Saccharomyces cerevisiae S288C: one gene and its partner. The gene in region 1 interacts genetically with each later gene. Each region holds a gene or a part of one and is shown in the gene's direction. Other genes may lie near its edges.

Region 1 (7,259 bases):
GATGTTTGGCTGGAGCAGTACATATTTGACACTGATCCTCAATTACGCTTCGATCGGAAGTGCAGGAATGAGTCACTGTGCTCCATATATAGTAGGCTGTTCAAACTGGGTCTGTTTTTCGCCCAACTGTGTGTGAAAAGTGTGGTTTCTAGCGCAGAATTGCAAGACTGTATCAGCACCTCTCATTATGCGACTAAGCTGACCCGTTATTTCAATGATAATGGTAGTACACACGATGGTGCAGATGCAGGTGCTACCGTGCTGCCCACTGGCGACGATTTCCAGTACCTGTTTGAAAGGGACTATGTTACTTTTCTTCCGACGGGCGTGTTGACCATCTTCCCCTGTGCCAAGGCTATAAGGTACAAGCCATCGACTATGGCGACGACGGACAATTCTTGGGTGAGTATTGATGAACCCGATTGTCTTCTGTTCCACACGGGGACCCTCCTTGCGCGCTGGTCTCAAGGTATGCACACTACCTCACCACTCCAGATAGATCCTCGTGCGAACATTGTTTCGTTGACCATCTGGCCTCCACTTACTACGCCAATCTCGAGTAAAGGAGAGGGTACGATTGCCAATCATTTGTTGGAGCAACAAATTAAGGCTTTCCCAAAAGTCGCTCAGCAATACTACCCACGGGAGCTTAGTATTCTAAGACTCCAAGACGCAATGAAGTTTGTTAAGGAGTTGTTTACTGTTTGCGAGACTGTATTGTCTTTAAACGCTCTTTCCAGATCCACGGGCGTCCCACCAGAGCTGCACGTTTTGTTACCCCAGATATCCAGCATGATGAAAAGGAAAATAGTGCAGGATGATATTTTGAAGTTATTGACCATTTGGTCTGATGCATACGTAGTGGAACTGAACTCTAGAGGGGAGCTGACCATGAATCTACCCAAAAGAGACAATCTAACAACGTTGACCAATAAGTCTAGGACTTTGGCATTCGTGGAAAGGGCAGAGTCGTGGTACCAACAAGTGATAGCTTCCAAGGATGAGATTATGACTGATGTACCCGCTTTCAAAATAAATAAAAGAAGGTCCAGCTCTAATTCTAAAACAGTCTTGAGCAGTAAAGTGCAAACGAAGAGCTCTAATGCTAATGCCTTGAATAACTCAAGATATTTGGCGAATAGTAAGGAAAATTTCATGTACAAAGAGAAGATGCCTGATTCGCAAGCAAACCTTATGGACAGACTGCGTGAAAGAGAGAGACGTTCGGCCGCATTGCTTTCTCAAAGGCAAAAACGTTACCAGCAGTTTCTAGCGATGAAAATGACTCAGGTATTTGATATTCTTTTTTCGCTGACCAGGGGCCAGCCTTATACAGAGACATATCTAAGCTCGCTAATCGTAGATAGTTTACAAGATAGTAATAATCCTATCGGTACAAAAGAAGCAAGTGAAATTTTAGCTGGGCTACAAGGTATCCTACCAATGGACATATCTGTTCATCAAGTGGATGGTGGGTTAAAAGTTTATAGATGGAACAGTTTGGATAAAAACAGATTTTCTAAGCTGTTGCAAATCCACAAATCAAAACAACAAGATTGAAGAATATTTTTAGATATAAGGTAGAATACGTACATTTACGGTAAAAAAAAAAAAAAAAGAAAAAAAATTGATCTTGATACATACGTTGGTATTTTACTTTGAAGACTGTGCATTGTGTATGTACGAAAAGAAAGGGAAATAAAAAATAACGACAACTGCAGGACTCGAACCTGCGCGGGCAAAGCCCAAAAGATTTCTAATCTTTCGCCTTAACCACTCGGCCAAGTTGCCTTTAATCTCTTGAGTTTGTTTAAGGACAACACTGTCCACCTGGCATGGGAATATTACCATTATTCCAGATTCGGGCTTGTTATTAGGACTTTTTACCAGCTTGATTTACCGGTCATTACTTATCCTACACATCATACATCACAACTACACTTGGTGAAGAAATCACAGAGCCTTGGATTTGTAACAATTATATGTTTACGCAATTTATCTTGGGAAAGCAGGGCCTCATTTGTGGACATAGCACGGTCTGTCACCCTCGTCGTGCAAAAAATATTTTGACTTCTACTCTTTTTGAAGTTTCGTTGATCGGGTCCCTTCCAAGGAAAAGTCGAATGCTGTCACTGCGCATATAAAGGCGAGAACGATAGTGACTGTGATATTAAGTTATTGTCATCATATAAGTAATTTTTTCTCTGATATCTGTAGCCCTAGTTTTTAATATTTTCGTAAAATGCTCAAAAAAATTTCTGTTTAAATTCTTCTGGGGTATATACACATGTTCCCGTCAGCTAAATTAAAAAGAAGAAGGAACCGAAAGAAGGCAAATTATAAAGTAATCATCCTCGGCATATTGAGGGGAAAATATCCGTCAAAAAAAAAAGTTCTGCACGTCGTCATAAGTGACTATGGTATCAAACACCAATTAACACGAACGTAGCGATAATGAAGGCAACTTCGTAGCTGAAACAGAACGAAGTTAGTTAGGATGAATAATTATGATTATGATTATTATAATATTATATAAAATGTATAAATAAGATTTCTAGATCAAAAAAACATCGCGTATTTTGTAAGCTATAGAAATCTAAAATATCTAATCAGATCTTGGAGCTTCCTTGAAGGAGATGGCAGCTTCTTCACCCATGGCAGAAATGATAGTGACCATCAAATCCTTACCTTCATCGAAAGCAGCTTGCATGCTGTCACCCAATTCACCTTCTGGTGCCTTGACATCGTCTTTGGTTTCACCGTCCATGGTCATCAAGGACAAGTAGCCATCATCAATATCCAACAATTGGTATTCGCTTCTCTTGACAAATGGAACTTCCAAGTTGTGAGTGGATGGAGACAAATCTTCCAACTTCTTACCAGTGAAGATATCAAGGGTAACCAAATGGACCTTGGCGTGACCGTGCTTACCGGTCTTGGAAGTGGACATGTCGACAATCTTACATGGTCTACCTTTGATGACAACGAAACCATTCTTTCTCAAGGCAGAACATTGCATTGGGTAGGTGGCGGAGGCACCAGCGTCAGCATTTTCAAAGGTGTGTTCTTCGTCAGACATGTTTTAGTGTGTGAATGAAATAGGTGTATGTTTTCTTTTTGCTAGACAATAATTAGGAACAAGGTAAGGGAACTAAAGTGTAGAATAAGATTAAAAAAGAAGAACAAGTTGAAAAGGCAAGTTGAAATTTCAAGAAAAAAGTCAATTGAAGTACAGTAAATTGACCTGAATATATCTGAGTTCCGACAACAATGAGTTTACCAAAGAGAACAATGGAATAGGAAACTTTGAACGAAGAAAGGAAAGCAGGAAAGGAAAAAATTTTTAGGCTCGAGAACAATAGGGCGAAAAAACAGGCAACGAACGAACAATGGAAAAACGAAAAAAAAAAAAAAAAACACAGAAAAGAATGCAGAAAGATGTCAACTGAAAAAAAAAAAGGTGAACACAGGAAAAAAAATAAAAAAAAAAAAAAAAAAAGGAGGACGAAACAAAAAAGTGAAAAAAAATGAAAATTTTTTTGGAAAACCAAGAAATGAATTATATTTCCGTGTGAGACGACATCGTCGAATATGATTCAGGGTAACAGTATTGATGTAATCAATTTCCTACCTGAATCTAAAATTCCCGGGAGCAAGATCAAGATGTTTTCACCGATCTTTCCGGTCTCTTTGGCCGGGGTTTACGGACGATGGCAGAAGACCAAAGCGCCAGTTCATTTGGCGAGCGTTGGTTGGTGGATCAAGCCCACGCGTAGGCAATCCTCGAGCAGATCCGCCAGGCGTGTATATATAGCGTGGATGGCCAGGCAACTTTAGTGCTGACACATACAGGCATATATATATGTGTGCGACGACACATGATCATATGGCATGCATGTGCTCTGTATGTATATAAAACTCTTGTTTTCTTCTTTTCTCTAAATATTCTTTCCTTATACATTAGGACCTTTGCAGCATAAATTACTATACTTCTATAGACACACAAACACAAATACACACACTAAATTAATAATGACTGAATTCAAGGCCGGTTCTGCTAAGAAAGGTGCTACACTTTTCAAGACTAGATGTCTACAATGCCACACCGTGGAAAAGGGTGGCCCACATAAGGTTGGTCCAAACTTGCATGGTATCTTTGGCAGACACTCTGGTCAAGCTGAAGGGTATTCGTACACAGATGCCAATATCAAGAAAAACGTGTTGTGGGACGAAAATAACATGTCAGAGTACTTGACTAACCCAAAGAAATATATTCCTGGTACCAAGATGGCCTTTGGTGGGTTGAAGAAGGAAAAAGACAGAAACGACTTAATTACCTACTTGAAAAAAGCCTGTGAGTAAACAGGCCCCTTTTCCTTTGTCGATATCATGTAATTAGTTATGTCACGCTTACATTCACGCCCTCCTCCCACATCCGCTCTAACCGAAAAGGAAGGAGTTAGACAACCTGAAGTCTAGGTCCCTATTTATTTTTTTTAATAGTTATGTTAGTATTAAGAACGTTATTTATATTTCAAATTTTTCTTTTTTTTCTGTACAAACGCGTGTACGCATGTAACATTATACTGAAAACCTTGCTTGAGAAGGTTTTGGGACGCTCGAAGGCTTTAATTTGCAAGCTTCGCAGTTTACACTCTCATCGTCGCTCTCATCATCGCTTCCGTTGTTGTTTTCCTTAGTAGCGTCTGCTTCCAGAGAGTATTTATCTCTTATTACCTCTAAAGGTTCTGCTTGATTTCTGACTTTGTTCGCCTCATGTGCATATTTTTCTTGGTTCTTTTGGGACAAAATATGCGTAAAGGACTTTTGTTGTTCCCTCACATTCCAGTTTAGTTGTCGACTGATACTGTTAATAAACTCATCGGGCGAGGCTTCCACGGTTGGAAAAGCATATGGGCTGGCGCATATGGTTATAAAATCACCTTTTTGCAATTCAATTCTATCTTTCCCATCAAAAGCCGCCCATGCTGGAGCCCTTGACTTCATCGAGACTTTCACTTTTAAATTTATACTTTCTGGTAAGATGATGGGTCTGAAACTCAATGCATGTGGACAAATGGGTGTTAAAGCGATTGCATTGACGGTTGGGCATACCAATGACCCACCTGCACTCAAAGAATAGGCCGTGGACCCAGTCGGAGTAGCAGCAATCAGTCCGTCCGCCTGCGCAACGGTCATTAATGAGCCGTCACCATACAATTCTAACATGGATAGAAAAGGACTTGGACCACGATCGATGGTCACTTCGTTCAAAATGTGGTGTGTGCTTAGTTTTTCCACCACACATATTTTCTTCCCCGTGTTTGGGTCTACTTCAGGGCGGTGTCTACGATAAATTGTGCACTCCAACCTCAACCGTAAATTTGTCTTGATTTTATGATTCATAATCCGAGGTAAATCCTCCCTGAAATGTTCAAACTTAAAATTTGTTAAAAATCCTAGAGACCCTAATGAAAACGACATAACGGGTGGTACATGTCTCTGAAAAATGGAACTTACAAAAAGAACAGTACCGTCGCCACCCAAAGTCACTACCAAATCGAAGAAAACATCATGTTCCCTGATGAAATCCTTTGTCCAATACTTGATCCTTGATTCTCTACATTTACTATCTTCACATAACTCGCCAGCGGCAAATTTTTTGCTGTTTTTCAATTCGGAATCCACATAAACAGTCACACGTGGAAAATGTACCAAAACCCATTCTACCAACTCTCTTGTTAAGAAATACAGTGAGACATCGTTGAGTTTCGTAACAATCATCAAATTTTCCACATCCAGTTCCACTTTGGTATTAGATATATCTTTACTCAACATTCTTACACCATACGCCGTGGAGGCATACTGAAAGTGTGTATTACTACTCTTAGAACTTCCTCTTGTTCCGTTAATGCTCGTACCACCGCCACTGTTTGCATTGCCGTTCACGAGAGATGAATCTTTATTCAACAGGGAGCTTCTGCGCGAGCTGCTTTCACTTGATATTTTCCTCAACATTTCTTTGGCGTTGTCGATATCCTGAGTTCTATCAATTTGCTCATTGTTCATCATGGCCTTCTTCATCAAGTTATTATTGTTGTTATGATGATCATTTCGACCATCTTCCTCATTTACCCATTTATCTACGCCATTATTCATGTCATTCTCCTTCATCTCAAGAGCTTTTACTCTACTTATTTAGGGAGCCTATTGTATTTTTTTTTGGCTTACGATCACGATGTCAATGATCATTTGCCCTATTATACCTTTTTCTCCGTTCTCTTTGCGTAGTGCGGTGAAATAATTTCAGGATGCATGAAAGAGCAAATAAAAGTGACACACCGTTATATCGCAAGGCGCACCACATCAGTAATCAGATACCTGTGCATTCAAAATGAGTAGAAATGTAGATAAGGCCAACTCAGTTCTGGTACGATTTCAAGAGCAGCAAGCAGAGTCGGCAGGTGGATACAAGGATTATTCACGTTACCAGAGGCCCAGGAACGTGTCTAAGGTAAAATCCATAAAAGAGGCCAACGAATGGAAGCGACAAGTAAGTAAAGAGATAAAACAAAAAAGCACAAGAATATATGATCCGTCTTTAAATGAAATGCAGATTGCGGAACTTAACGACGAACTTAATAATCTTTTCAAAGAATGGAAGAGATGGCAGTGGCACATTGACCATACACTTATGGAAAAAAAAACCAAGAGGAAAAGGTTAGAAGACAGTCATGTGCTGATGAATTCAGGAAAGCTGATAAATGGTAAGAGATATTTTGGAAGAGCCCTGGAATTGCCTGAAGTAAAAGAATGGCTCAAGCAGTCTCAAAGGCAGAATGATGGGGGTTCTATAAACACCAAATGCATACCGAAGGATAGAAATGATTTTTATTACCATGGCAAAGTCACAGCCGCCTTAACCGAATTTGAGGCTAACTGGACATCCATTTTGAAAGCACATTATAATGTGCCTGTGAATGAAGATGAAGAAGAAATGTCAAGGCAGACACAAGAAATCCATGTACCAACTCTGGCAGATATGGAGCATTGGTTAGTGCAAAGAAGAAAAAAGAAACTAATGGATGAACTTAACCTTTAGCTATGGAAAATTATTCAAACATTTAGAAGAGGCACTATTTCGAATGACCATCACAAGCATTATAATCTTCAAACATGTCCGAGCTGCAGATATGAAGTAAAATAGTGATCGGGACTCATTTTTTTTTCTTCTATGATATCATATTGTCCCGTTCGTT
Region 2 (5,116 bases), on another chromosome or scaffold:
TGCCTAACTCTACAAAACAAGGATCTTCACCACTAAAAAAACAAGTGAACATTGATCAACCTATTGAAAACAAGGGAAAACTGAATGTTTTGCAATTATCCACTCCTCAACAAAACGAGTTAAAGGAAAAAGAAAGGAAGCTAGCTGAAATGGAAAAATCTTTACGTGAGAGAGAAGCACTAGTAGAAGAAAAAGAAAAGGAAAGAGCTGAGAAAAATACTGAAGCAAATGAAGAGGAGGAAATTTCACATGAATCAGACGATTTAAATTTAAGACCTGCGAGTGCGCTAGAGACTGGTTTAAAAGATCTTAAATTGGAAAGTGAAAGTGCAGTCGCCAATAGAGCGTCCTTGTCGACTTTCTCATCCACATTTAGTGATTCTCCCTCCAAGCAAAGAATCATCAATACCAGAACAGGTATGTATAAGCTAGAAAACTCTACTGATATCAATGAATACGTGACCGCACAAGAATTCCCCTCTCCCGGAAAGTATAACTCAAATTCGGATAATGGCGAAATGAATACAACGAACGAGGTCGATTTTGATTTCAATACTAGTAAAAGGGCTTCTTTGTTACAATCCATACCGGAAAGAGATCCCAAAAGAAATGTCTCAGATGCTACCATTAAGCGACGTGAATCCGATGGCAATGGCAGGAGACTAAGTAATGTCAACATATCCATGAACCAGGAAAACATCAACAATGATACTTTTCTATATAAAAAAAATAATCGCGATGGTCATTTATCAGCAGTTTCTCATATGTCCAGCTCTTCCCGTAGATCGTTCATCTCCAATACGCTGCCGTTGAATATTGATTCCGCCTCAGAATCTGATAATTTTGTACCGCATATGGATGGTTCACCCTCCAAAACAAAATCAGCCCCAGTTAGCTACGATAAGGATGGCATGAATGCTTCAGAAGAAGACTTCAGTTTTGATAATACTTTAGCCAAACCGTATGAACCGTTATATGCTAGGAGAGGAGACATAACTTCCGCCGGATCAACTAGTGGAGAAGATAGCTCTCAGCCAAAGATGATAACAATATCTGGTGAGCAATTGAATTTGATAACAGAAAACAAAGAATTAATGAATGAGTTGACACTGGTGTCTACAGAATTAGCAGAATCGATAAAAAGGGAAACTGAATTAGAAGAAAGAATACGGCTGTATGAAACCAATAATTCAGCACCATCTTTTGACGATTCTTCGAGTGTGTCTTTTTCTGACTTTGAAAAGGAACTGAGAAAAAAATCCAGTAAAATTGTGCAATTGATCCAGCAATTAAATGACGAGAGATTAAAGAGATTCATTGCGGAGGAGCAGTTATTACTCCAAGAAAATGGCACCAAACCAAGTTCTATGGAACTAGTAGGAAGAATTGAAAACTTGAATAAACTTATTGATGAGAGAGATTCAGAAATTGAAATGCTTAAAGGACGTTTACAGTAGATGAATGATGTATTTTATTGTATATATCGCTTAGTGCACCAAAATCATACTACGTAAGTATAAAATCACTTTACACGTAGAAGATGCTTTTTCAGATTGTTCTTGAAAAAGTTGAAAAAAATATAATTCACACTCAGCAACAGGTGAAAGTGTATAATGGGTAAAAAAGGAAGGACAGAAGGTATATTGCTAATCAAAACGACTTTGGTATACGCGTTTGGGGCTACAATTGCATTTTAAATATATTTAAGATGTTTAATAGAAAAAGAAGAGGAGGTATGTTTTAAAACCAATGTTTTCCAGAAGTTTCGTTCTAGAGTGTGTATATCAAGACCAATTAGGATGGTATTTCCATTTTTTGTCAGTTAGTACGGTGTGACAGAAAAGTGTACTTTTGTGGCACAGAGAAGTGGAGAAACGGTACACGTAGAATACATAACGGCAAGTAACCTCTCTTATTTTACTCTCCATCTTTACTTTGTTTTACATTCCTAGGATTATTAGGTTAGCTTGGTTTTACAAAAACTCAATTATTCAGTTTCATTCAAATTACTAACATACCCAACTTTGACTACCTTGCATATGATTTTACCGTTAGACTTCGATGAAGATGAAAATTACCGTGATTTTAGGCCTCGCATGCCTAAAAGACAGAGAATCCCACCTGTTGTACAACTGTGTAAAGAAATGATGCCCGATATTCGCACTATTGGTGAATCTGTTAAAGCTTTTGAAGATGATATCAAATTCTTGAGTGAAGCTATAATGAATGAGTATGGCCATGAGGACTACTTTAATAATGCTTTACTGAGCACTTTAAACGCTGTTGTTGTGGAGCAACCACAGAAGCAAGCTGCTATCGCTCTCTTAACCATGGTTGTTAATTCGAAAAATAATGTTGCCGGAAAGAGTATTATCAATTACTTCTTCGAAGAATTACAAAAATGGTGCAAGCAAACATATAATGATGAATTCAAGAGTACGTCAAATGAAACTGGGCCATGGAACAAGATCAAGTTAATCCTGAGATTTTTATCCATTCTATCGCCCATGTTTTTAGTTGATGAACTAATCAATATCTACAAGAGCTTATTTGAATTGAGTATCGAATTAAACAATCTGGATCCAGGTAACAGAGTTCCTTTATCTGAAGCAATTTACACCAATACATTATTAAATATCCCGTATTTGTTCTTTTTTAATAGGAATAATGACGGTTTGAGGACAAAAGTGGAGGAGTTACTTGCATACGTTGAACAAAACTATCTAGTTAAAACAACGGATATAAACCTATTAAGAGAATACAATGGTGAACCTCCATATGAAATGGTAGAACTTGTCCGAGTCGTATTACCAAACGTCAAGAAGGCGCTAATCAATAACTTGGAACAGCTGAATGAATTATTTCCTGATTGGAATCATTTATTAACTCCCCAAACCGGTGATGAAGGGTTCAATGACGCTTTAACCCTTCCATCAGTAGATGATCTAAAGTCTTTCGTGCGCTTGAATAAAAACTTTGGTTCAGTTGATAGCATGTGGAAGACACCAAGGTATGCTTTTCATGTTTACTTGCCAAACTCCGCTGGTAATTTCGAAACAGTTGTACCAATCAGCACTTATGCTGGTCAATTATTCAACGATATCATTATTGATCTGGTGGAAAGTTTAGAATTCAATAGAAAGGAAGTAGCTAGACAAGTGATAACTTTGGATCTTTTTTTCAAAGCAGGTATATTTACAGAACCTGGTGAATCTATTGCCCAATTAATTGCCACTTATGAAGAGAACCCATTGGCTCCTACATTTAAGATAGAAGATTTGGCTATTGAAACCATTTTGGGACTTATTTTTAAATTACCTAGTGTTTCCCAGCCTTTTGCATACTTTTACACTTTATTGGTGGATATTTGTCAAAATTCTCCAAAAGCAATTGCTCCTGTCTTTGGTAGAGCCTTTAGGTTTTTTTATAGTCATTTGGATTCATTAGATTTTGAACTAAAATTAAGATATTTGGACTGGTTTTCAATTCAAATGAGCAACTTTAATTTTTCTTGGAAGTGGAATGAATGGGAAGACGATTCGATCAAATTTGGCAAGTATTTTTATAATCCAAAGGTAAATTTTGCTAAAAATTTGATTCAAAAAGAACTACGATTGACCTCTAACTTTTCAGAAGTAGAGGACAGCCTACCACAAGAATTCACGAAATATTTGGATACTTCTTACATTCCAAGAGATCAACTGATTAACTACTATCAATCATTATTCACCGGTTATACGGTAGAAGAAGATTCCGTTAGAAAAAATGATCTATATTTTAGACAAGAAGGTGTACCTATGGAAAACACAGTCCGTAAAATTTTAGATTATACCCACAAAGCAAACAATTCTAGGGAAGTTACTGAATTAGAAAGTATTCTAGGTGAGTTAAAGAATGAGTATGGTTCCATAATTTCCGACTTTAACAGATTTGTTATCATATTGTTAGTCCAGGCCGTTACAGACTCTGGTAGTAGATCTTTATCACATGCTAATAAATATATTAATGATTTAAAAGAAGATCTCAAAACCATATTTGCGAAGATTGAATTGGATATCGAGACAAAAGAGTATATCATAATTGAAGCCGTCCTAACATTTTGGAACGCCAACCCTCAGACAGGTTTCTTAGTAGCAGATGCATTCAAATATGCAGGTTTACTTACTTCCAGAACCATTTTTACATTTATATTTAACGAAACTGGTTTGAAGAATAATGGTTTGATTGAAGCTACAGCAATTGAAGCGGTCTTTAGAAATTTATCTCAACAAATCTCGGAAGAGAACGAAAGTGGAAATAATTTTGAGTTCGTTTTCGAAAGATTATGTACCATCGCCAACAGTACTATAGACTTACTAGATGTCAATGCTGATGAAGATATTGAGATACCTAAAGTCAACGGGGAAATGGACATCGACGATATTGAAGATGATAAACTGGATTTGAAATGGAAATATTTTACAGTGATTGGGTTTATTAAAAGTATATTAAGAAGGTATTCCCACGAATATCGTGAGTTAGCAGACAAATTCATTGCCAACATTGATAACGCTATTCCACACGAATCCACTAGGAGAACAATTTCGAATTGGATTCAAGAAACAAAGGAAGTTTAAAAAGATTCGGAGGATGGACTACATTCGTTATCACTCCGCTTTTTAATTTTTAATCAATGTTACATACCTAGCGTAATTTTCCTATATATAAAATATCAGCTTTATATAAATATATTATTGAAACTGTACCTATAATAATAAATTTAAAATTAAGTAAATACAAATGCTTCAAAATTTGTTAGTATTGTTTTCTTCAATCATCTTTACTTAATTGTCATCGCAATAATTAAATTAATATTTTATTGTTGTTGCGTATATAATACAACCTGAATGGTATGCTACACTATGTTACACTATGCTATTGATCAGAGTTTCTAATGACGAATTACACTTCTATAACTATCCGCTTTGGAAAGTTTGAGACGAAGGGCGTTACAATCAGAATCCGTATCCAAAGGATGTTCTTCAGAATTAGTCAGATCTACACCTGATGAAACATGCCTTGCGACAGTACTTATGCTACTTTCTCTAACCAAATGTGTAGGCGGTTCGGGAAAGTA

The links.
Region 2: of CYC1 (region 1) and STO1, a mutation in one rescues a mutant of the other (synthetic rescue), as found in Saccharomyces cerevisiae (2 studies listed by BioGRID).

The regions. Positions count from the first base shown.
Region 1 is NC_001142.9:522,303-529,561, forward strand, and holds CYC1 (cytochrome c), read left to right. Parts: upstream 1-4,032; coding exon 4,033-4,362; downstream 4,363-7,259. Other genes in the region: TAH11 (Tah11p), read left to right, coding at 1-1,560; ANB1 (translation elongation factor eIF-5A), read right to left, coding at 2,606-3,079; UTR1 (NADH/NAD(+) kinase), read right to left, coding at 4,582-6,174; ISY1 (Isy1p), read left to right, coding at 6,395-7,102.
Region 2 is NC_001145.3:515,831-520,946, forward strand, and holds STO1 (Sto1p), read left to right. Parts: upstream 1-1,708; coding exon 1,709-1,733; intron 1,734-2,055; coding exon 2,056-4,616; downstream 4,617-5,116. Other genes in the region: EPO1 (Epo1p), read left to right, coding at 1-1,457; DLT1 (Dlt1p), read right to left, coding at 4,931-5,116. UniProt on the Saccharomyces cerevisiae protein: Component of the CBC complex, which binds co-transcriptionally to the 5'-cap of pre-mRNAs and is involved in maturation, export and degradation of nuclear mRNAs.